Linked DNA regions of Neodiprion lecontei. The protein of the gene in region 3 binds, or shares a complex with, the protein of the main gene of each other region. Links are inferred from orthologs where the notes say so. Each region holds a gene or a part of one and is shown on either strand. Other genes may lie near its edges.

What was found. Proteins that work in one complex are often made in the same cells at the same time.
Region 1: probable small nuclear ribonucleoprotein Sm D1 (region 3) and E3 ubiquitin-protein ligase RNF113A share a complex: the UniProt entries of both Homo sapiens proteins name them as parts of the minor spliceosome. The link is inferred for Neodiprion lecontei from reciprocal best matches to the Homo sapiens genes SNRPD1 and RNF113A.
Region 2: probable small nuclear ribonucleoprotein Sm D1 (region 3) and splicing factor 3B subunit 2 share a complex: the UniProt entries of both Homo sapiens proteins name them as parts of the minor spliceosome. The link is inferred for Neodiprion lecontei from reciprocal best matches to the Homo sapiens genes SNRPD1 and SF3B2.

The regions. Positions count from the first base shown.
Region 1 is NC_060263.1:16,654,095-16,660,405, forward strand, and holds E3 ubiquitin-protein ligase RNF113A, read right to left. Parts: upstream 3,073-6,311; 5' UTR 3,030-3,072; coding exon 2,921-3,029; intron 2,771-2,920; coding exon 2,694-2,770; intron 2,566-2,693; coding exon 2,362-2,565; intron 2,161-2,361; coding exon 1,944-2,160; intron 1,806-1,943; coding exon 1,613-1,805; intron 1,491-1,612; coding exon 1,310-1,490; 3' UTR 1,113-1,309; downstream 1-1,112. UniProt on the Homo sapiens protein: Required for pre-mRNA splicing as component of the spliceosome. As a component of the minor spliceosome, involved in the splicing of U12-type introns in pre-mRNAs. E3 ubiquitin-protein ligase that catalyzes the transfer of ubiquitin onto target proteins.
Region 2 is NC_060266.1:54,345-64,222, forward strand, and holds splicing factor 3B subunit 2, read right to left. Parts: upstream 6,613-9,878; 5' UTR 6,196-6,612; exon of another isoform or gene 6,130-6,195; 5' UTR 5,969-6,129; coding exon 5,945-5,968; intron 5,050-5,944; coding exon 2,638-5,049; intron 2,376-2,637; coding exon 2,307-2,375; 3' UTR 1,518-2,306; downstream 1-1,517. Other genes in the region: GPI ethanolamine phosphate transferase 1, read left to right, coding at 1-314, 516-942, 1,107-1,517; synaptotagmin-14, read left to right, coding at 7,409-7,442, 7,710-7,898, 8,162-8,296, 8,441-8,502, 8,725-8,922, 9,058-9,384, 9,629-9,878. UniProt on the Homo sapiens protein: Component of the 17S U2 SnRNP complex of the spliceosome, a large ribonucleoprotein complex that removes introns from transcribed pre-mRNAs.
Region 3 is NC_060261.1:43,621,810-43,628,147, forward strand, and holds probable small nuclear ribonucleoprotein Sm D1, read right to left. Parts: upstream 3,234-6,338; 5' UTR 3,089-3,233; coding exon 3,075-3,088; intron 2,859-3,074; coding exon 2,782-2,858; intron 2,644-2,781; coding exon 2,446-2,643; intron 2,277-2,445; coding exon 2,194-2,276; 3' UTR 1,747-2,193; coding exon of another isoform or gene 1,516-1,746; 3' UTR 1,385-1,515; downstream 1-1,384. Other genes in the region: NEDD8-activating enzyme E1 regulatory subunit, read left to right, coding at 1-2, 81-576, 647-780, 843-1,045, 1,123-1,259, 1,516-1,746. UniProt on the Homo sapiens protein: Plays a role in pre-mRNA splicing as a core component of the spliceosomal U1, U2, U4 and U5 small nuclear ribonucleoproteins (snRNPs), the building blocks of the spliceosome.

The DNA of each region.
Region 1 (6,311 bases), on a different chromosome or scaffold from region 3:
ACATTATACTTATACTGGTAATTTATATAACGTTTATTTTCATTCAATTTCTCGAATTTATTTGAAAATACCTTACTAATCCAGCATTTCATCCACTTTTTCTTTGGCCCTTTGTTTTTGCTCTATATATATCCAGAACGAAAAGAAACGCGATCAGTGTTGAATAGCAGCCTTGAAGCTTTCCTTCCTCCAGAAGGTGAAGGTTTTGTTTTACTTTTTATCAGTGTCTAGTCATTTTTACGAGGACGCATTAGTGCGCCACTAGTTTCGGTCGTTGCTCTCTTGATCGTCGTCGTCGTCGTGGTCACGTTTGCAGAGATAAGGGAACGCACTTTTCACACTGGATTCTCACCGCTCCTATTTTGCCCGAATCTCAAGGCGAATGGAAGATTTGAAGACACTTTAGACGGCTGAAAAACGTGAAACTTAGCGCCAACTGATCTCAGTAAACTGACGTGAAATTTGCCCGCTTCTCTGAAGCTTGTTTCCGAAATTCAGAGCCGAAGGTCTCTACGAGTAGATTAGATAATAACTAGTTGGTGTAATCACTCATTTTTTCAGAGACGCGATAAGAGAGAATAAAAGGGGAAGAAAGACGCTCTTGGCCAAAAAATACATGCCCGTAAGCCTCGGTGGCGCTCGTTACTCAGCCGTTGGTAAACAAAGCCGATCGTAAAACTCCGGGGGTCTATGACTACACGCGGCGGCGATCCGTCGGGAGCAGATACTCGGCTAACAATGAGCGTTTGCAAAGGCTGCCACGCGATGACTGAGCACGTGTGGGACTGGGGACAATTGATATACATATATGTAGTCCGAAGTCTGTCCTACGTCGCGCGTTGTTACATCGCCACCCGGTAATAGAGGGCAAATTTGTTTAAGTTGATTGCTGCGCGGTTCACTGTACAGACAATGAGAAAATTTAAATATACACGTCCATTATTATCCGTATCTTAATTATTATTACTTTTTTTCATCTTTTATATTTGTCTTACAACAAAATTGAGTGTATCGTTCGTGATGTTATCTTTCGCACTTTGATGAACAAGTTTTTCGTAGAACACATAAGGTATACCGCAATGCATCGTGCATATCAGTTCGCTGTTTCACTGTTATTTGTAATGTAATATTTTCTGGTTTTATTTATTCTTGTTGTTGTACACCTTCGGATGCACCAACAATGCTTATGTTTTCAAGAACAATAAAACGGCGACGCCCCTGTTTTTTCCCTCTTCCTCTCTAACTCGAAGGAATTAAAATTTAGAAATTAATTACCTAAATTAAAGTATTACACAAAGTCGGATCTGCACTAGTCAGAATCGCTATCGGCCTTCTCTTGTTCCGCCGCCTCCATTTCTTCCACCTTCATTCTCGCCACCAACTCTTTGGCTGGATTGAACATGCCGTTTGTTTGTACGTTGCAAATGAAACACCTCGTACTCTTTTTGTACTGTTCGAGGGCGCATTTTTCGCAGAAGTAATGTTTGCACCTGAAAAAGTGATTGAAACGTCATTTAGAAATTGCTCTTGCATTAAGAAACACTTGGGGATAATTTTCTCCGTTGTTAAATTGGATCTGACTATTTTTGTTTATAAATCAAATTTTACAAACTTTGTGACAATGGGATCGGTGAATCTGTTCCTGCATATGAAGCATTTGAATGGCAGATCGTCAACGTCGCTGTCTATTTCATATTTCTTGTCATCCTCGTCACCGCTGTTGTCATATTCGCCACTGGCTGCCTCTCGCTCTAACTGCCAGCCTAATTTGTAGTCGGATCTGTCATGGAGAAACTTGCAGCTGTCTGGGAATAGAAGAGATTACCTTAGAGGCGACATTTTACTGCAATTCATATGATTGAGCAGCCCTTTTAATGCAGTCTGGTAAACAGTAAAAGTTTCGTCGAAACTGGATAGAGTGAAAAATCTGTTTCTTTTCTCACCTCCAAATCCGCAAAAACCCGTTTCCTTGTAATCTTTACAGATATCTGGCTGATAATCCCATCTTACAGTGGCTCGGAGATTTGCTGGTGCTCTGATGGGTCCTTTGCGCACCATTCCACTGGACGCGTTGCCTGCTGCAGTGTCCTTTTTTTTGTAATACTGAGCATAATTGTTCATGCCACGGTATACTTTGTCGTCTTCTTTGCCCTCCAACTCCTGTAATAGAAAAATAGATGAAAAAGTGACCAATAAAGGATTCTTGAAGATTTCAAGGACAATTAGAATACCTTTACGGTTATATATTTCGCTGGTATAAGCAAAGAAATTTGAATGGCACCCTTAGATCACAAAGCAACACACCAAAAATTTTGCCAGATTTCAGACTATAACAAACAAAATTGCTTTCAGTTACAATACCTCATTGATTTTCTGAGCCCTTTCAAACAGAGCTTGGGCATCTCTGTCGATTTCTGTCTCTGTTTCCAGAATGGCCGTTGCTCCTTGATCGCTAGGCCCTGCGGGCATCACATTCCGCTTACTTTTATAAGAGACAGTGACGCTGTCATCTTCGGCTTCCTCGTCATTTTCACCTATTACAGGTCGTTGCCTCTTGATACTTGTCTGCAGAAATTGAAACAGTGATTGGTTGTTGGAGTTTTAAACTTATCTTACTGTTAGCACAGTTGATAATCGTGGGGAAGATGACTGAAACAAAATAACAGGGGGAAAAAATATGTATAGTTTCTTACACTTTGTCTCATAGGATTTTGAACGTCGGTCTTTTTTTCCTTTTTGACAACCGTGACTGCTTCTTCTTCGCTATCGTCTGCAAGTGATACGGTGGTTTATTTCAATAACAACATATTGAGAGTTAACCTATGACGCGTGGTCTGATACGAAAATCTCGTTTCAATCCGGCGGATCCTCAAAAATCATTTCTGATTAGAAAGCACAATTTTAATTAGAGTCGTCTCACCATTTTCTCCCACAATTTCTTTCCGTTTTCTTGCTGCGTTGTTGCGGATTTTTCGCTTCTTGAACAAAAACGTGCAATTTGGCTTTTCTGACGCTTCGTTTTCTGCCATGTTTATTTTTAACGATGAAAGCAAGGCGAGGCGCGTCTGTCGCGTTAACGCCAACACGATCCGCAAAGAGCTCTTCGTATACGACGCTGGGTAAAATCGTAAGCGTAGCGTAAAAAGAATTCTTTTTATACGGTCGTCGATAAAGTGAGATTCTGATAGTTCGGTCCCGGCGTTCCATGGTACATTTCCGTCATTCCTACTTTTACGGGAACGATCGGCGGTTGTTTTCAGACGCTTCCCAGCAAGGAGATGGAGGTATAACGAATTCCGCTATATTTCCTAATAAATTCTTCGCAATTATATCGAAAAGGTAAGTTAATAATAATAAGTACAATTCAGCTGAACATTTTCTTTGAAATAAATAATCGCAGTTACCGCGATAATTGTAAATTATGAGTATAAATTGGTTTCCGTTACTAACGGTCCATCGCAGTTCCAGTAACAAAAGATTATTTACAATTATAATTTCCATGCGAATCTCGGCCTGCATTAAATTGGTATTTCTAGTGTTTGAGTAAATCTGAATCGCATCATGCACACTTTCAAACGAAGTGGTAAAGACTTCGCCAAATATCTTCAATCAACGGCGAGTATTTCATTGTCGATATTCAGCCGTTTTACTCACGTGACGCCATGTGAAACAATCGACAACCGATTGTTCTGCCATCTTAACGAACGTTCGTTGTTATTTGAGAAATTTGAGTTCTTGAAGATCAACAGATTAAGTTCAGGAGCCACGTACAAATTGTTAATTTGTTGCTTTTGTGATGAAATAACGTGTCAAATACACACGAAAGAATCATTCAATCAGATGTGGAAGGCTTTGAATCAAGAAAAGTGTACAAGAGAGTACCTCAAGGGGGTGCTCTAAGCCTCTTGCTGTACACCCTGTATGTATCAAACATAAGCAATAATCTGCCAAAAAATGTTATTGCCTCACAATTTGCTGACGACGTCGCCTTGATCTCCTACGACGAACCTCTATCACTGTGCAAAGATAACCTTGAAATCGCGGCAAAACAAGTAAACCAAAACTTGCATGAGCTAGGTCTAACCCTATCTCCTGAAAAGACAAAACTTCTACATTAAGTAGATAAGATACGACACTTCTAACCCAAAACATGACGTAACCAGTTGACGTAACCACGGCGGCCATTTTGATTTTTTGATGGCGGCCATTTTGATGGCGGCCATTTTGATTTTTGCTTAGCCGGAAGTAGATAGGATATGACAGTTCTAAATCAAAACAAACATTACGTAACCAGGTGACGTAACCATGTGACGTAACCGGTTGACGTGACCATGGCGGCCATTTTGATTTTTTGATGGCGGCCATTTTGATTTTTGCTTAGTCAGACGAGCGGCCATTTTGATGGTGGCTGTTTTGATTTTTGCTTAGCCGGATGAGCAGCCATTTTGATTTTTCATCGTCCGACAGTTTGATAATGTGATTTTCGCTATGACGTCACCAGTATAATCGACCGATTTTACCGTCTGACGGCGGCCATTTTGATTTTTGCTAAGTCGGATGAGCAGCCATTTCGATTTTTATCGTCAGACAGTTTGATAATGTGTTTTATTTCTTGGCAGGATGAACAGTCATTTTGATTTTTCACCGTTACCCCGTAAACTTTCGCGCTAATAGTTTGCCCCAGGGGCGAAAAATAATATTTTCCACGTACTTCGAATACATTCTTTTACGTTAATCGACCGGATGGTGACATCGCAATTAGATAGACAGCGAATGTTGATGACGATCCGTAAACTTTCACGCTAATAGTTTACCCCCCAGGGGGAAAATTTTACATTCGAAAAATATTAATAGAATTTATTGTAGTTATATATATATATATATATTTCGAATTACAGTTACACCTAATTTTAAGTAAAGCTGGGGATGTTCGCCACAATTATACATATAGGTCGGGAATGTTGATGGCGATTCTTAAACTTTCACGCTAATAGTTTTACTCCCCAGAGCGAAAAATAATATTTTTCACATACTTCGAATACACTTTTTTGTGTTAATTGACCGGATGGTGATGCCGCAATTAGATAGGCTGGGGATGTTGATGATGATTCGTAAACTTTCGCTTTCAAGAATTTATTAGGGGGGAGAGTGTGGTTAGTTGGTATATAAATCGCGAGCTCATTCAACACGTTATATTGTTCTCAAAGTTTTCCCATTGTGAACTTCAGTATCCATAGTACGTCAAATTTATAAAATCTACATCGAACGTGATGGATCTAAATAAAATCAACCTCGTCTGTCACCTGGAAACGCTACCCACCAAGAGAATGTCAGATCTGGAGGTTGGGGAGGAGTACAGCGTGACGGGGGTAAGGCGCGTAAATACTAAGTACGGCACGAGTATTCTTCTCGCGCTCAATGAACAATTCGAAATATTTTTACCCCCACGAATTGTAAGCCTCATGGAAAATGATGTGGTGCAATTCAACGCCATGCAAAAGACGATAATCGAGGGCATTCTACGAATGAAATATCAAGGAGGCGAATACAACAAATTTGAATTTTTGTGTGACAGATGAGCAATTTGAGCGTAACAAACAGCACTGTTCCAACTTGCAATATGGAGATGATCATGGACATTCAAAGTTTCGTTGGCCCCAACGATAAATTTATACCCAAGGAACTTTGCATCAAACATAAACTCATCGGGTTTGAGCCGCATTCTCTTCAAACCGCCGTACGCTTGGGCGGATCTACCAGCTGAACACAAAGCTACTAACGCTTGGCCAACACGCAATTTTCACGGAATACCCTGGAATGCGGGAATCAAACCTTATGCTGAGGTGCAGAAAATTGTAAAAAAGGCTGTTAAATATGCATGCTATGTATATGTCAAAGGTGAGGAGAAGAAACGGTGGCTGACGAAGATCCTTGGTGGGACAAAACAAGTAATAAACATGGAAGATTTACACATTTCAGCACCATCACTGGAAAAACTGAAACATATGGAAGAGGCGGGTTGGTGCTGTGATTATCATGGAAACGCTTCAACGGGATACAACTGCGCCTTCGAAAATATTCAGCGTTTGAAGAAGTGGTATGTCAAGGAGTGCACGGGGTCTCTCACGAAATCGTTCTGTCTTTTCGAAAAACAGAAAAATTATTAATAGAATTTATTGTAGTTATATATATATATATATTTCGAATTACAGTTACACCTAATTTTAAGTAATATAATTTATTCAAATAAATGTAAAATAAATATATATATATATATATATATATATATATATATATATATATATATATAT
Region 2 (9,878 bases), on a different chromosome or scaffold from region 3:
AGTGGATGGCGTTTGCAAGGGTATGCATTATTGGCACTGCTTTCTTCATGGCTTGCCACTCGAAGTTTCAGCGCTAACCCTTGTCCATCGTTCCGTGGCGGATGGTATTGGATAGGTTGTACGATTTCTCTGACGTCGATTATGTCCTTTGCTTTAACGATGAGGTGGATATTCGGAGCAGCGACTCTGTGTATGTGCGTGATACAGGGTGTTCTCTTCAAGGACGCGGATCGTTTTCTTCCCTGGACAACAATCGTTTTGGCCGCCTTTCCGCTACTACCGACCGTAGGCCCCGACACACAGACACATCTCGTGTAAGAATCTGTCAGACAATTCCCTTTGCTTGATCTTTGTCCTGTCTGATAGTCATAGAAAGATGAGGAAGAATTTTACCTTATCCACTTTGAGCATTAAGTGGTAATGTAATGTTTCAAGTATTACATTACGTACCGACTTATGGTATATGACGCACGTGACCATGTGTCACGAAAGTAATGCAAGTATTTCTTCAACAGCTTGCTGGCCTTGGTTATTGGAGGAATGACAGTGATTACCGCCGACGATCGTCACATGAATATTTCTCTGAAGGCCGTGGAAGGTGTAAGACTTACAACAACAGCCTTAATATCTTCGGGACTCGTGGATGGTCGAAGCCTCTTGTCCTGGCTAATATTAATCTCTACGCCGTTGTGCATATGCGCTTATTCGGTTGAAGTCAAGGGTAGAATATTTGGAGTAAGTTTGGCATTTTTACCAACCCTTGCCTTACTCTCCGTATCGTATGAGCCACTCTTCCTTATCGCGTTGACGGGTCATCTTCTTTGTTGGCCTATGACTACTGACAAACGTTGTAAAATGTGGGGATTCAAGAAGAAGGAAACCATCAGCGTGAAAGACTTTTTGGTGGCTGGATTTTTTGTATCCTTTTACCTGCTGTATGAGGTGCGAGTAAAATTTAAAGTTGCTTCAAGCTTTGTACACATCATTGGTAATCTTATATTCAGCTCAAGCACTATCTGCACCTATCAGATTGTGCATGCAAGATATGTCGGAACCTTAGATACTCTTTTTTCTTACATGTTATGTTATTATTCATTCGGACTCAGATGCTGTACGTGCTACTGGGGTTCTTTGGTACTGGAAACATAGCAAGCATTAGTTCGTTCGACCCAACATGGACAAGACATTTTCTTACAGTATTCTCGCCATTCACCATGTGTACTCTGATCGTCCTGAAGACCAGCATTCCACTATTGGTTGTTGGGTGTGGTATCAGGACCCTTGCACCGTCAAACCTTTTCATGACGACAATCCTCCTTGCCGATTGTCTAACACTGCAAGTCATGCATACGGTTACACCCCGAGGTAGCTGGATGGACATTGGTAGTGCGATTAGCAGATTTGTAATCGCAATGACGTTACCTTGTCTGATGCTACTTCTTTATCATATTTCGCGTCTCCTGGTGACGTACAGTGTGTGGAAAATCGACCATTCTCAGATTAAGCAACATGTATAGGATTCATAATGTCATGTTACAGTACAGTATGCAGTACATACAAGTGCACCAACCAAAGTATTATTGTATTGATAATATAATATTAGAGATACGTATTTCAGTACAACCTGCGTTATTTTTTAGCTAGTTTTAAATTACGCACAAGCTCGAACCACATCGGTCTTAAACCCCTGCACTGTTGTTGTTGCATGAAATTCAGTAATTCTTCGTGGTGAAAAAGGGGATTTTACACAACTGTATAAAATTACGTATGATGTATGTATGTACTACCGGCCGGAGTAGTGTCGCGCACAGGTGTGTGAGACTGTGAATCGGGAGGAATTGAGTTCAAATCCCCAGCACGACTATGAGGACCTGCGCGAAAACTCTTAACAATTGTCAGTCGGGGGCTGAGTCAGCAAGCTGAGGTTTGAACTCGGCCCAGCTACATCTGGGTAAGGTATTCTGCAGTTTTCCTTGTTTTTTATGCATTCGCGCGGATTTCTATTGAACATCCTAAGCCAGGCTGCAGGCGCCCAATCACTTTCACAAATCTATTGCCTCTCTTGCCCTGCACAAGCCGAATGGCGTACAGGGACATACCGGGTGTATGCATACAGTTTTGGCCAATTATAATGTAGCCCACGTAATGGTGGGCAAAGTGATATAAATGATCGCATTCATTTTATAATTCAGATAGAGTTCGTATATAATGTGAAAGTATTGAATCACTTGAATGACATACATACGGTAGACACATGAACAATTTTGGAATATGATTAGGGGATACGTTGACGAGACAGGTTTCAATTAGAATTTGAATTCCTTGTACTTCTTGGATGCTTTGGTCTCCTGATTCTGCTGACGTTTTCTCTTGCTCTGCAACAATAACGTATTAGGTGTGAGCTTTGAGTCACTTGAAAGTAACGTATGCACCGCGACTGAGCATACCTGGCGATTATCTTTAAAAGGGTACGCTTATTTGTGTTGGTTACACAACACGTGCAATTGGCTTATAACTGGAAGGACAGCACTGGCAACGCAAATTATCGTAATAGATCGAATAGATAATCTCCCGGTACAGTAAAATGACAATAATTTGTGATTTACAATAATTTCTACTAAAAATTCAGAATATCACCTTTTGCCTTTGTACATGATCTTGAAGCATATCGGACAAGTCCTCGCGTCGCAGGTGAGCCTGGCGCGATCTCATTGTCTCTTCGTAACGTGAAGCCATTGCCTCTGAATCAAGGTCCAGCTCGCTTGGATCAAGCGCCAATTCAACAGCTGCGTCCCTGTCACCTTTACCTTCGGCAGATGTACTACCGCCGACACCCGCTGTTCCTAGACCACCTCCGCCGGCACCCGATGCGCTTGTTCCAACGGCCCCAGATCTACGAGCAGCTGCGATGACGGAGGGGGGTGCCTGACCTCCGACTGCACCAGTCATATCGTACACATGGGTACTTCCCATCATGCTTGCCCCAAGTCCCTCTGCGCGACGCTCCTGCAAAACTTGGTATAGCGCAGGCGTGTCCCCGCCCTCCATTTCGCTCTCAATCTTCTTCTTTCTGAGCTCAATGGTTTCGGGTGTTTCTAACCCCGCCGGAATTGACGCAATACCGCTCGGTGTGACTAAGCCTTCGGCACCGGGTGTAACCAAGCCACTTGCATCTCCGGCATCGCCCTCTTTTCCTTCAATCCCGTCACCCTCATTACCCTCCTCGGCGTCGTCCTCGTCTTCGTCCTCACCCGACGACTCTGATTCCGGCTCACCCCACATACCGCGATCAACTTCTTCGTCCATCGCATCGACCCCTGGCGCCCTGGCAACACCGAATACGTCTCCGTACAACGGGCGGCCCGTCTCGTCGACGGGTGGCTTACCCCATCCGCCAGCGTGATAACCGAATGCGCATCCCTCGGGTATAGGCGCATTCAGACCAGGAATCTTGAGGTTTGGATAACTCGGCGGAGGGCCATAACGTTGCATAGCGATCAACCAAGGTGGCGGTACCTTATGACAGTTCGGACCAACCGGCATTCCCAGAGCTGTTCGTAACTCGTCGGATAATTCACCGGGCTTCTTTTCCTTCAGTCTCGTTTCGAATTCCTTACCTTCGTAGTAGAGATCGCCGTGTATAGTCATACGGGGCTTTGTCTGCCACTTGAAAAATGCGTCATGAAGTTTCTGGTAGTCAATGTCTATTTTGCCAAGTTTCGGCCTTGCCCGTTCTCGCATTTTCGCCTTTAAGGTGCGTGTGTCATCCCGTTCCTGAAGGCTCGCTCGCATTTCCGTAATACCGGTACGCTTGATAAAATCAGGCAAATCGAAAGGAGGCTTTTCGATGCCTCGTTTACCCTGTAGGTACTTGCGCTTGAAGCACCAGTGTCTTGGCACAGGTACCGTATTTCGATGAGCTTTCAGCTGCACCAAAAGTTTGGGGTCCCGCGCTGTGACGTCGTGCATCTCTACAACATCTGGACGCCCGACGAGTTGCTTCAGTTCAGCCACACTCAGGCGCGTTAGCCTCTTCAGTTTGCGTTTAGAAAGACGCGGTGTGCCTCCTTCTCCGGTGCCCTGGCCTCCACCCTGCTGATTATGCTGATTCTGCTGGGATGGGTCGTCGTCAAAGTCGTCAATAGGCGGGATTTTGCTAAGTGGACCCGCTGCCAATGTGTTTGTCAAGGGTGGATACTGGCCAATGGGTTCAATCTTATCACTTGTTGCATTTTGGCCTATGCCCGTGCCACCGCGAACTTCAGGTTCCGTCAGCTTGAACGCGTCAAAAACTCTGGCAAATTGACGATACATTGGTTCCAAGTCATTGATACTCGGGATCTCTTGGATGTACTCAATCTGCGGGTCGTCAATGTTCCTGACCTTGACATCAGGCGTCCTGGTCTCGTTTACATCCTCATTCTTCTCATCGCTGCTCTTCTTCTTCCGTTTCTTTTTCTTTTTGCGGTTCTTGGTTCCCCTCACATCCTGTCGAACCCGTGGTGCGTCTGGTTCCGGAAGTAAGTCCTCCAAGAGAATCGAGTCTGGTAGTAAGTTGTCGCGTAAGTCAGAAGCTGGGTTAGATGGATGCGATGTTTGAAACATTGCATGGCCGTGAGCGCTGTTATCGTGGTCGTCGTTCAGATCACCGCCCAGCTCCTTGGCTCTCTCAGTTTTCAATGCAAGCGCCTGTTCCAAAGCAACAGGAAGCTTGGTCGTGCTCACTATGTCGGATACACCATTTCTTCCTTCTTTGCAGAGGTCCTCATTGTCGCCATCACGCACCTCTTCGGCCTTATTACCATGCTCCTCTGGAGTTCCAGAGAGCTGCATCTCGATCGGAGGTGCAATCTTTAAATTGAGAAGACTGGGCAACGGCGCTTGTGGTATTTCAACGGCAACCGACGGCATTCCCATGGTAGTCAATTTCGGTATAGTCGGGTGTGAATGATGGACAGAAGACGGAACGCTTGCTAGCTGTTTCTGAATCTCTTGCTGTTCCATTTGCCTTAACTGACGAGGATCCAGTATTATTTGCTGTCCCTGTGCCTGAAATATATAGTTTCACTCTTGATTTAATGTCTCACAAACACAAAACCAGGAATTTTGTACAAAAAAAAAGACAAAGTACACAAGTAGATAGACCGATTTTAATATCATGTAAATTATACTTCTGTGGCTGATCTTTTGCCAATTAACCCTAATCAAGATTGAGTGGTAACGAGAAAGTCTTCAACATTGAAGTCAAAAGACAAGGTGGAAAGACCTCGAACAGAAGCCCTCTGAAAGTGCGAGAGCGGGGAAGAAAGAAGAAGCACAGTGCAGGGACATAACATGTCGTTGCGGAGCGCTGAAACTGGTTTCTTAACCAATCTATGATTGAACTCATAACTGTAGGCTTTAGTCACTGGTTTGGCCTAGCTACTAGCAGCAGTTTCAAGTCAGTCTAGATTTACGGAAATGCAGTATGTTGAAACAGTCAGTGTCTACATCTCTTCACGAGGTGCGAACCAAGGTATAGGATAACAAGTAGAATGCTACGTCTCTTCCGTTGATTGAAGATTGCTAAATACAGCCAGTCACAGGTATTGATTTGGAGCAAGCAAACAGTAACCTTGGGCACAGAGGTAATGCCATTACTAGCCTACATTTATTGTCTCACTTAGGGGTTTTACAATATTGATCAAGCTATTATCGACAGGAAATTTCTATACCCAACCTTCCCTCGAAAACTCTCACTTAGTCGCACCGAGCATCAAAATCCGATTTATCTGGCTGGCTATATCAGCAACCTTCGGTCAACGGTAGATAATACGTTATTATTGACAGACTTGACAATAGAATTTTTCACCACTTCATATAAAGACATTACGACATTACTGTAAGAAGCGATGTATGGTGGATGGAAAGTTATTATTGAGTTAATTTCATAAGTATTACTAACCTCATTCCCAAGTGCTCCATCCATTTTATACGTGTATGTGTACCCTTAAACGTACTATGTACACCTCTGCCCGCAGCAAAGTCGCCACCTACATTCGTCGATCCTCTCTGCTTCTGAATTACGGTCAGTTTCGCAGTATTTCTCGTAAAATTCAACCAAAAATTCAGCGCAAAACCAGTCCTATCCTAGTAAAGTAACACCAACTATTCACGCTGTCATTTGTATGCCTACCACTCCTAACCTCTACATACGAAATCCTATGCCTTCTTCGTTCTTCTTCTTCTTCTTTCCTGAACGGCTATTCGCCAGTCCGATGACATGTGCCAATGCCTTCCTCGTTTGCCGAGTAATCTTCAAAAAATTGCCTCATCTACACCTCTGCACTGATTACGATGTAAGCCAATTCTTGAAGTCGTGCTGTAGCGTCGGTAACACTGCTGCTGACACAAGGGCACGATACACGGAGGGTTGCAGAGATGAATTCGTCATGTTAGGCGTTGACTGATGATATATTGCTCAGTCAACGTGTTGGGTGTCCAAAGCTTCTAGATCGCAACGACTCTGGTGGTCATAACAGGGACTGAATAAATCTTCCTTCACCAAAGACTACACACCCCCCACTCCAAAAAAGTGCCGGAGTTTCCAGACCTGCGTCTACAGATCATGATCTAAACAGACAAATGAAGCTGAATAGCACAAATTTAAATCTACCCCGTTCCGTTCATTCATATGGGATTCCGGCGATCCGTACGTACCTACGTGAGACGGCACCATGACTGCATCTAGCTGTGCTTACATTCTGCGATCGGATCTAGTAACTAAATTCTAGAATTATCGGGGAGTGGCTAACGACGTCACATACGCATACGGTCCAATCTGCGGGCTCACGAGGCACCAATCAAATCACAAGATTACACTCACCTTGTGACAAACTGGTCGCAACAGTTAAGTTAAAACCGCTGCGCCGCCCTACCGGGCTGAAACCGTAGCTTTGAGATTGCTCAAAACTGTCAATTCAAAATTCAAATCAATCAAGTAGGAAACTGTTGAATACGATCGTTTAAAAGTACATAAAAACGGAAATCGCATTGTTTCTTGCCCTGCATAGTATAGAGTAACGAATAAAGTAATAATCAAGACAAAACCTATTTTACATCGCAGTAAGCTCTAACCTGACATTTGCGTCAGGTGGACCGCACGCGCTTGCGGCGTCCGTTTTTACAGGGTAGGTATGCGGTGTGCAATGGTAATAAATATCAGTATTTAGTGATCGTGTGCGTTGCCCGGCGCACAGGGTCGCTAAGGGGGCGGGACCGCTGTTGTTTGTAAATAAAAAGTTTTCCGTATTTCGCGACAGCGCTACCCTGACGACTTAGCTACTCGAGCCATGAATTCTGTCCTACAGAAGATTTTTTTACCTTATAAATGTATAAAGCATATTATAGAATTACGAATTGAGCGAGTATGATTCTTGCTGGGTCGGACCATTTTCTGCCGGGTGAGTCCACTGTTGTCTTGCTTTTCACCAGATTCGTGCACAGTCGTTTCCACATTTCCTGGAACGCTCGCTAACCCAACCAACTACCTACAATTCTTGGTCCTTGTTACTGTTTCAAAAATTTACCCTAGTGAATGGACTGATATCAGCATGCTCAATTATAATGTAACATGCACACGCAGATATGTAACTTTCAGTTTTACCGTCACACAAGCAATGTAATCAGCTATACATGCATTACAACTGTAATTCTCATTGCCTTTGCAGTATCGGTCGAGACAGCGGCGTTTCTCGGTGCTGTCGCAGGATTCGGGGCTCTCCTGCTGGTTCTCTTCCTTTACTTGTCACGGAAATGGTGTTTCACATCTTCCCCACCTGCTACTTACTTTGGTGGCGTGTGCGTACCTTTTTGCCAGTCTAATAACAGCTCGTCATCCCAACTCAGCACGAATCTTGGTAACTCAAACAATTTAGTAACCATTGAAATGGATTTTCTATGATTTTCTCTTGCGCTGCGCACATCTCCGATTGTCTCAATTATTGAGTCTGATTGTTGAGCACTAAATAAAAAAAATGTATTACCAATGCAAAGTATTACAGAAAGGAAAAACTATTCCCATCATTGAATAGGCAATAGAATGATCGAGATTTCAAAAGTTCTTACTGAAATTAAAATAGTATTACTTCCACACCTGTACTGCAACTCAATTTTGACCCAGGCAAAACATTGGATTTCCATTCGGATGTGGAGACAAGTTCAGAATCTGAGGAGGAAGCATTGCGTCAGCCTAATTTTGGATCTCATCTCTCACGTGACAGCCTTGCCATAACAGCAGATGGTCCCGGGGCAACAGGCAAGTCAAGTTCTAACTTGTCTAATAATTGCTGTTTCTATAAAAACCCGTTCATCCTTTGCATGTACAAAGTGTACACAGAAATTGAATCAGTCACTTTTTATTATATTTGACACGATATTCATTCCTTAAAAAATAACGCAGATGTTGGAAAGGTATTGAGCTGCAGTGGTACAGAAGAGAAATCACTTCTGGATCGGCAACAGGTATGCCCAATATTCGGTTGACATTATATCCTACACCACATTGGGTAAAGCAGTTCCGCGAGAATCATGCGTCGGAATTTGTCTCGCACTTCCATTTTTTTCTAGCACATCGTCAAAATATTGGAACAAGGTTGGAAATCATGCACAGAAATTTACACACCGTAATATCGGTGAGAATGAGTCATTAACCGACATATTGTGAATTATAATCAAATTTCTTAGTGTGTAGTTGAAGTGGGTACCCCCAATGCGATTGGAACCGAAGAAATGGACATTAAAGATAAAAGGGAAGAGGAAAATAAAGCAGACCGGCAGCAATGTTTGAATCATCACAAGGAATCTCCTGTACCGATTCAAGCGGAGGAAATTCACAGCTTGGAGGTGGCGTTGATATACGACGCGCCGATGCGTGAAATGACGGTCTGTTCGCCATATAAAGACACTCATTAGTAACGGCGCTGACAATTATCCAATAATCAGAAAATAGATATATAAAGTCAGATTGCCTCATCGGATCATATTGGTTTAAAGGTAATGTGGCATTGTTTGTTGCAGGTTCAAGTGCTGCAGGGACGGAATTATCCGAATATGATAGGTGGTAGTCAGGTTCGTTTGGTTTTGTTGCCATCTAAGAAACAGAGACGCAAAACCAGAGTCCGTCAAGGGACTACGCCGCAATACATGGAAAGCTTTCTGCTACATCGTGTTAATCCTGAAGACGTGAATGGGATGGGTGTCAGGCTGAGGGTGTACTGGTGGACTGGGCGTATACGGAGGGAGAGATTGCTTGGAGAGGCAAGGGTTTCTTTTGACCAAATAAATCTGCAATTGGAAACCACACTGTGGCTACCCTTGCAACGCCCACCCCAATCTTTATCCACGGTAAAAATTTACTTTTATCTGATGTTTATACCACATTACTCATGTGATATGACAAAGCTGGCTATGTATGTAAATACACACGTACGTACATGTACAATATAGCTGACTATCGGCAAGGGGATGGAAACTCGAAAGAAACCCTTCAGTAGAAATGCTAATTTAGCATTACATTGCAGACAAGTAATTATTGGATAAATGAAACAGGATGAAAAAAATAAATAAATATTTTTACAATCGTAAATAGGTGCAGGATTGGGGAACAAGTGGTAGCTTGACCCGCAGCGATTCCATGGGTTCGCAACAATCTGTTCGATCGTACATTACGCCGCCCTTGGTACCGCTTTACGGTAACGGAATGAGAGGTGGAAGCATAGCGGAGATCTTACTTGGTCTCGCCTACAACGGGACTACTGGACGATTATCTGTGGAAATAATCAAGGGGTCGCATTTTCGAGGGGGCGGCGGCAATGACGCTAGACCGCCGGACACTTATG
Region 3 (6,338 bases):
AAGTATGCATCAATATTTTGCTACCTTTTTTTGAAGTGATGATCATCATCCATATTTTTACTATATCTTGTTGCCTCCAGGAGTCTAATTCGCTTGTCAAAAATATTGTGGGACCTGGACATCCCGTTGATAGTCTGCCGAAGCCTGGGCTTTATCGCGTACATGCGAGTTCAGACCAGAGAACATACTGTCATAGAAACTCACCCGGACAACGAGACACCTGATTTGCGATTGGACAATCCGTTTGAAACATTGAAAAATCATTTTGATTCAATAAATTTGGACGAACTGGACCTGAAGGATCACACTCACGTTCCATATGTTGTGATTCTGTACAAATACCTTGAGAAGTGGATATCTGAGAATGGGGATGTACCAAAAAATTATAAGGAGAAACAGCAGCTAAGAGATATGATCAGGAGTGGTATTAGAAAAGATGAGCACAATAATCCTATTGATGAGGAAAACTTTGAGGAAGCAATCAAAGCTGTTAATACCAGCGTTGGACGTTACGAGGTACCTCCCAGCGTCATGGAGGTCCTGAATGACGATTGCTGTATAAACCTTACCGCCAAGGTAGTATCGTTTCTTTTTTGTTTGAGCACTTCGACACATTTCGGACAAAACATAATGATGAAAATTTTAGAGTAAACCTTTTTGGATTATCGCCAAGGCTGTAAAAGACTTCATGGAGAATGATGGTTCAAATTCATTGCCACTCAAAGGTGCTGTACCAGACATGACGGCAGATACAGAAAAATATATATCCCTGCAACAAGTGTGAGTGTACGTGAATTTAATGTAAGTGCCGAACGGACATCTCAATGTATAATAAATTTCAGGTATCACAAACAAGCCGCAGCAGATGCGGAAGCAGTTTGGCGAAGAACAGTCCATTTGCTCAGACAGATTGGTCGCCCCTCGGATGCGATAACAGAAAAAGATGTCAAGTTATTTTGTAGACATGCTTCTAACATTTACATTCAAAGGGGATCCTGTATAGCGGATGAGTATGATCCAAAAACTGTGGATGCCAGCGAAATGAGTACGCCTTACTTTCATTTCATTCATATTTTACTTTCAGCTGTATATAGCTCATGTAAATAATGTTGACTCTTTTAGCTCAAAGTCTAGAAAATCCTGAAAGTATGATGGTGTACTACGTGGTACTCAGAGGGATCGAAAAATTCCAGGTGGAATACAATTCGTATCCAGGCGAATTCGACGATCACGTTGAACCAGATATTGTGAAACTTAAGGTACTATTTCAAAGCCTAGCGTAGAGCAAAGTTAAAATTTGTAAATAGTAGAGTATGTTTCAACTAGCGATAACTTATCACATTTGGGATGTGTGCGAACAGAATTGGGATTAGATCCAAGTATATTCTTTATAATCGTTTAATTCTGATTCTCGACAACACAGGAATTTTCAAATCTGTTTTTAGGGCCACCATACCAATAGAAACAAAGCTTTCATAATATCTAACATATTTCTACGTTTGTATGTGTACTCAGGCCTGTATTTCAAAATTGCTGATGGAGTGGGGTTGTGGGCCATTGGCAAAGGATGACTACGTCCATGAATTTTGCCGTTACGGCGGATCTGAACTACATTCGGTGTCGGCGTTCTTAGGAGGGCTAGCTGCGCAGGAGACTATAAAATTCATAACTAATCAATGCAAGCCGATCCACAACACTTTTATATACGACGCGGTAACGTCAAATTCGGCTAGTTTCTTTATTTGAATAGTAATAGAAAATTTGCAATACTATCGCGTAATACTATAATCACGTAATCATGAAATAAAATTCACTATTTCCATACAACTTGGCTAAGCATTAAATTACCTAGTCTGCAACACACGCCAAAAGATGAATGAATATCGTTAAATTAAAAATACGAAAATGCTTTTGTGTATAAAAAAGATTTGATGATTGATTTTTGACAAAAAAAAAAAAAAAGAATTTCATTTTATTATTACGTCAGATAAGGCTTACAGGCTAACTTCATGTCTGTGAGATATCAACGTTTTTATCGAACTTAAACTAGAATGCATTGGTATTAGACTTGTTTAAGAATATAAAACGTTGGTCAGTGGTGTAATTCACCGAGGTGCGTGGGAAGAGAAATCGCAGAATACAACACCTCGTTACGTTTCTCAAAAATCATCAATGGATCAACTATTTCAAACACTATCGCCTGCCTCTTCCTCTGCCACGACCTCCACGTCCACCTCTAGCGCCACGTCCACCACGGCCTCTTCCACGAGCCGCACCTAGTACAGAAAAACAAGGATTAGAAATCATCGATATGTATTAGAATACTATTGCAAAGTCTGGATTGAATGTGTCGAAAATTGAATCAAGGAAGATTAGTCACAGAAAATACTAAAACATAAATAAAATTGATCATAAAGGCCGCAAAACTTGAATGACTATAAGGACCTCGTGCGGCTTCTTTCTTCTTTGCTTTAGCCTTGGGCGTGTCATCGATAAGCAGAGTTTCCAAGGGAAGGGAATCAGGCAGAATGTAGTATCGAATGTTGTTTCCCCTCAAACTCAACGTATCGAGTTGTACAGGGTCTCTGTTCTTTATCGTCATCTTCACAGTTTTCAAGTGGGTGTTCATGGCCACATCCACACCTTAAAAATAAACATTTTTGTCATGCATCTGCAAAAACTATTTCACTTGGAGACAAAAGAGAAGCGGCCTGCTCTGTACGCTATTCCAACTGTGATTTGATTGTGTCAAGTCAAATGGCATAGGTTATGTTTACAAACCTGTGATAGTTCCGTGAACTTGGGTGCCATTTTTCAGTTCTATCGTAACCGTCTCATGGCTGAGTTTCATCAAAAATCTGAAACACGAAATATCCCAATTAATCCAGTGTCTTTTCACTCATTGCATTAACGGTGTTCGTAACGTAATTGCAACATCACTCATAGAGGCAGGTTAGGTACGGGATTTAAATCAGTATCTACAATCACACGGTAGTTAAGAAAAAAAACTATCCGAATTTATAGCAATCTAAAACTTCGATCGACGGAATGATTAATTATCGGCAAATTTTTACCTCACTAATTTCATGATGCCGATGGATTTTTCGTATAAAAATTCACAAGCACCGGCAAACCATAAACATCGTTTCAACGGCCGAAGTTCGGCGGGCTGGACGCGTCGAAAGCAGCGCCACTCGATGAACACGGATTTTCCGACAAACTGTACTTTGTGTCTATATTCACGGAGTAACAAGTTCGATTCGACAATTAAGTCACGCCAAATCTGGCTTGAAAATCGAATTTTGTATCGAATTATATGTACACAGTTCTGAATATTGTCTACACAGAATTGTCGATTGTACAATTTTCGTGAGATACCAATTGATACAACTTAATTTTCTCAAACGTTTACCTTACGTATCCAGTTTCCAAAAGTTGATGAGGTATCTCGCAGAACGTTGGAAAATCAATTTTGTTATTTGACGATATCCATGATACGCCCACACAAGTGTTTTTTCAACTTTATTTCGATTTCCCTTGATGCGTGAAGTTGTACAAGGGTCATCGACGCATAACTCTTCATATGCCTGTATGTATTATGTATATACGAGTTGTTGTAAACATCGTGGATATAATTAATCGCCGAGGAGTATTTAACTCAAGTCAGTCACGTCGCTACTCACTACTAATTGATGTGCTTGTTTTTCCTCTAGACGAACTCATCTGCACGCTCGACGAAGAACTACCTACGGAAGGTTACACATATTGTCATAAGCCCGGTTGAGTTCGGTGCACGCGATGTTTTGCCACAAACGGCCACGGCGTATTCCATCTGCACTCACCCTGCACTTACTAATCACGATAAAACGCAGGTATTATACCAACGTACAACATACGTATGCATTGCACATCATGCGTTATACGTATCCATCCAAGGGGAGAAATTAGATAAGTTTATTGCAAGTTGTCGATCGACAGATGATTATCGTCCGTGTAAGTGGCTACGCAGCTTGTGTGCTTTACGCTGCTGTATAAGACGTACACATCAGACATATTATCCATAATATTTATATTAGGCAAGCGTTAGTCCTGCATAATTTCATCGTACGGAGATCGATCACAATACCTACTATTAGGTAGGTCGTAGAGCTCTTCGTTCAATGCTGTTTAATATATATCTGATAAGCTTTTACAAATATTACGAGCTTACGTACATAATGTTAACCGCCAACTGTTTCCCACATTCTGATTTCAACGAAAATTAATCAATGAGTATAACCATATATCTATACAGGTCATGTTAATTAACATACGTCATACGCTATTATAAATCCGTGAAATTGAAAGTGTAAAATTAGTGTAAAATATTGTGAACCCAGATTCGCGAATCGCGGCACTTAATACATTATTGCATTTGCAGTCTATTACAGAGGTGATCGCGTATGCAAAACGCGTCTGGATTTTAAACATCGTATTGGAATAACAAAACTTGCGCGTAAGTGGTCGCGTACATCGTCGATGAATCATGTATGAAAGCGAGAGGTGGGGAGGCGAAGAATGACTCGGTGTATCCCGACAAACTAACTTGCACCTTATATGCATAGGCACAATAATACAACGTATTTCCAACCATTACTGTTCTCGATGTTTATCCAGCTTTATTACAGGCCTCCTTAAAGGCCTCCCGCTTTACGTATACCATAAACGTGGACTCTCCTTCATTCTGGTCCTTCACCTTTACCACAAAAACCGTCGGCTTCGTTTACCCATGGTTCCTCGACGTCCGTTAGCTGGTTAGAATTATTCCAAAAACTTGTTTACGAGTACCTACATTGACGGTCGAAATTTCTGTATTTTTATTACCTCGGTATAACTGCGTATACGTTTATACATGTATACGGAGAGCCGCAAGTCATTGGAGAGTCCGGCGCAGTGATCTCGATACGTTAATTTTTTTTTTTTTTACCTTTCTTACTTGAGGTTCTCTAATCACGTCTACCCAGAATTGCCGAGGCGTACGGCTGTGACAATGATGTCCCGACGGTCTCACGCTGGTGTGACGTCATCGTCTACGTCAGCAAAATCCTCGAGGGGGCCTCGAGGCCCGATCGGAGTCGCTGCCGCATCCGGAGGCACGCACCCACGTCAAACGATACAGCGCGTGAAAAGAATTCTAGCGCAGGATAGGTGGGGGGCTCGGATAAAACGATAAATGGTAACACCGATTTTTGCATATTGTACAGTCGTGCGAAAACTCACTGCAATAGATCACACGCTTTATCTCGGCAAAGCATTATAATTTTACACAAATTGGAAATTTTAAACATTTATTACAAGCTAAGCGAAAAAAAGGAATTTTGTATCCAGGATCGGACGTTTTGTTTTCTTTTCTCGTACAGGTTATACCACAATATAAATACTGCAGCGTATTATCTACAATACGATGTTGTTGAATTTCAAATATTTTCACACGATGGCGAGCACGTCCCTTGTGTAAAAATACAATTTCTAATTTGGAAAAGTAAACTTTATCAGCGCAGAGTACGCAGCGTGGTTTGCCTCTGTAAATAGCTTCCCTCCGGGTTGACCTTCTGCGTACGTTATACAATTAGCTGTAATTATCCGCGGGCTACCAAGGGACATCGCAAAGTTACACCATTAAGAATAATGTCATTATACCTATACCTAGGGAAGTTGGTTTATGTTTACATAGACGTAGCCATGTGGTACATACACGTTCCCGCGAGCAAGTTGCAAATTACATATACGGCGACAGGTCCACGTAGCCGTAGCGGACGCGACTTACGTGGGTACCCAGAGTCGCAGGGACACAAATCACACATTTGCGCTGATCCAGAGACCTGTGGACACTTGAACTTTGAAAGATAATTCAAAAATTAAACTCGTTACAGGAAGCAGAAGTCCAGTTAAAGTGGATTGGATCTTTTTCCAACTCACTCGTGCTTTCTTCTTTCGTTATTTCATTCCATTCTCCAAACCTGCTTTCCCGTTCCAGGCCTTCAAATTTCTCGTCATCGTCGCACAGGGCGCTGAAAGCATACCCGTAACATACGCGACATCGGACGACGATCATTCGATTCCGAGCTCTCCGAGCTACCAATTCCGCTCGTAATTTCGTGCAATTACCATCGGCAAATCCCGGCCTCGGCGTAAATCGAGTTTAAACTTTGAGCGCGGCTGCGCGCGTCGGTGTAAAGTTGAAATTGATTGGACGCGCGGCGTTGTTCCCGCGGCTGCGGCGACGCGGCGTCATCCCAGCCAACGATCGCTGCGCGTCGTTCGTCGCCGCTGTGGCGAAGGGAGGGGAGGCGATCGAG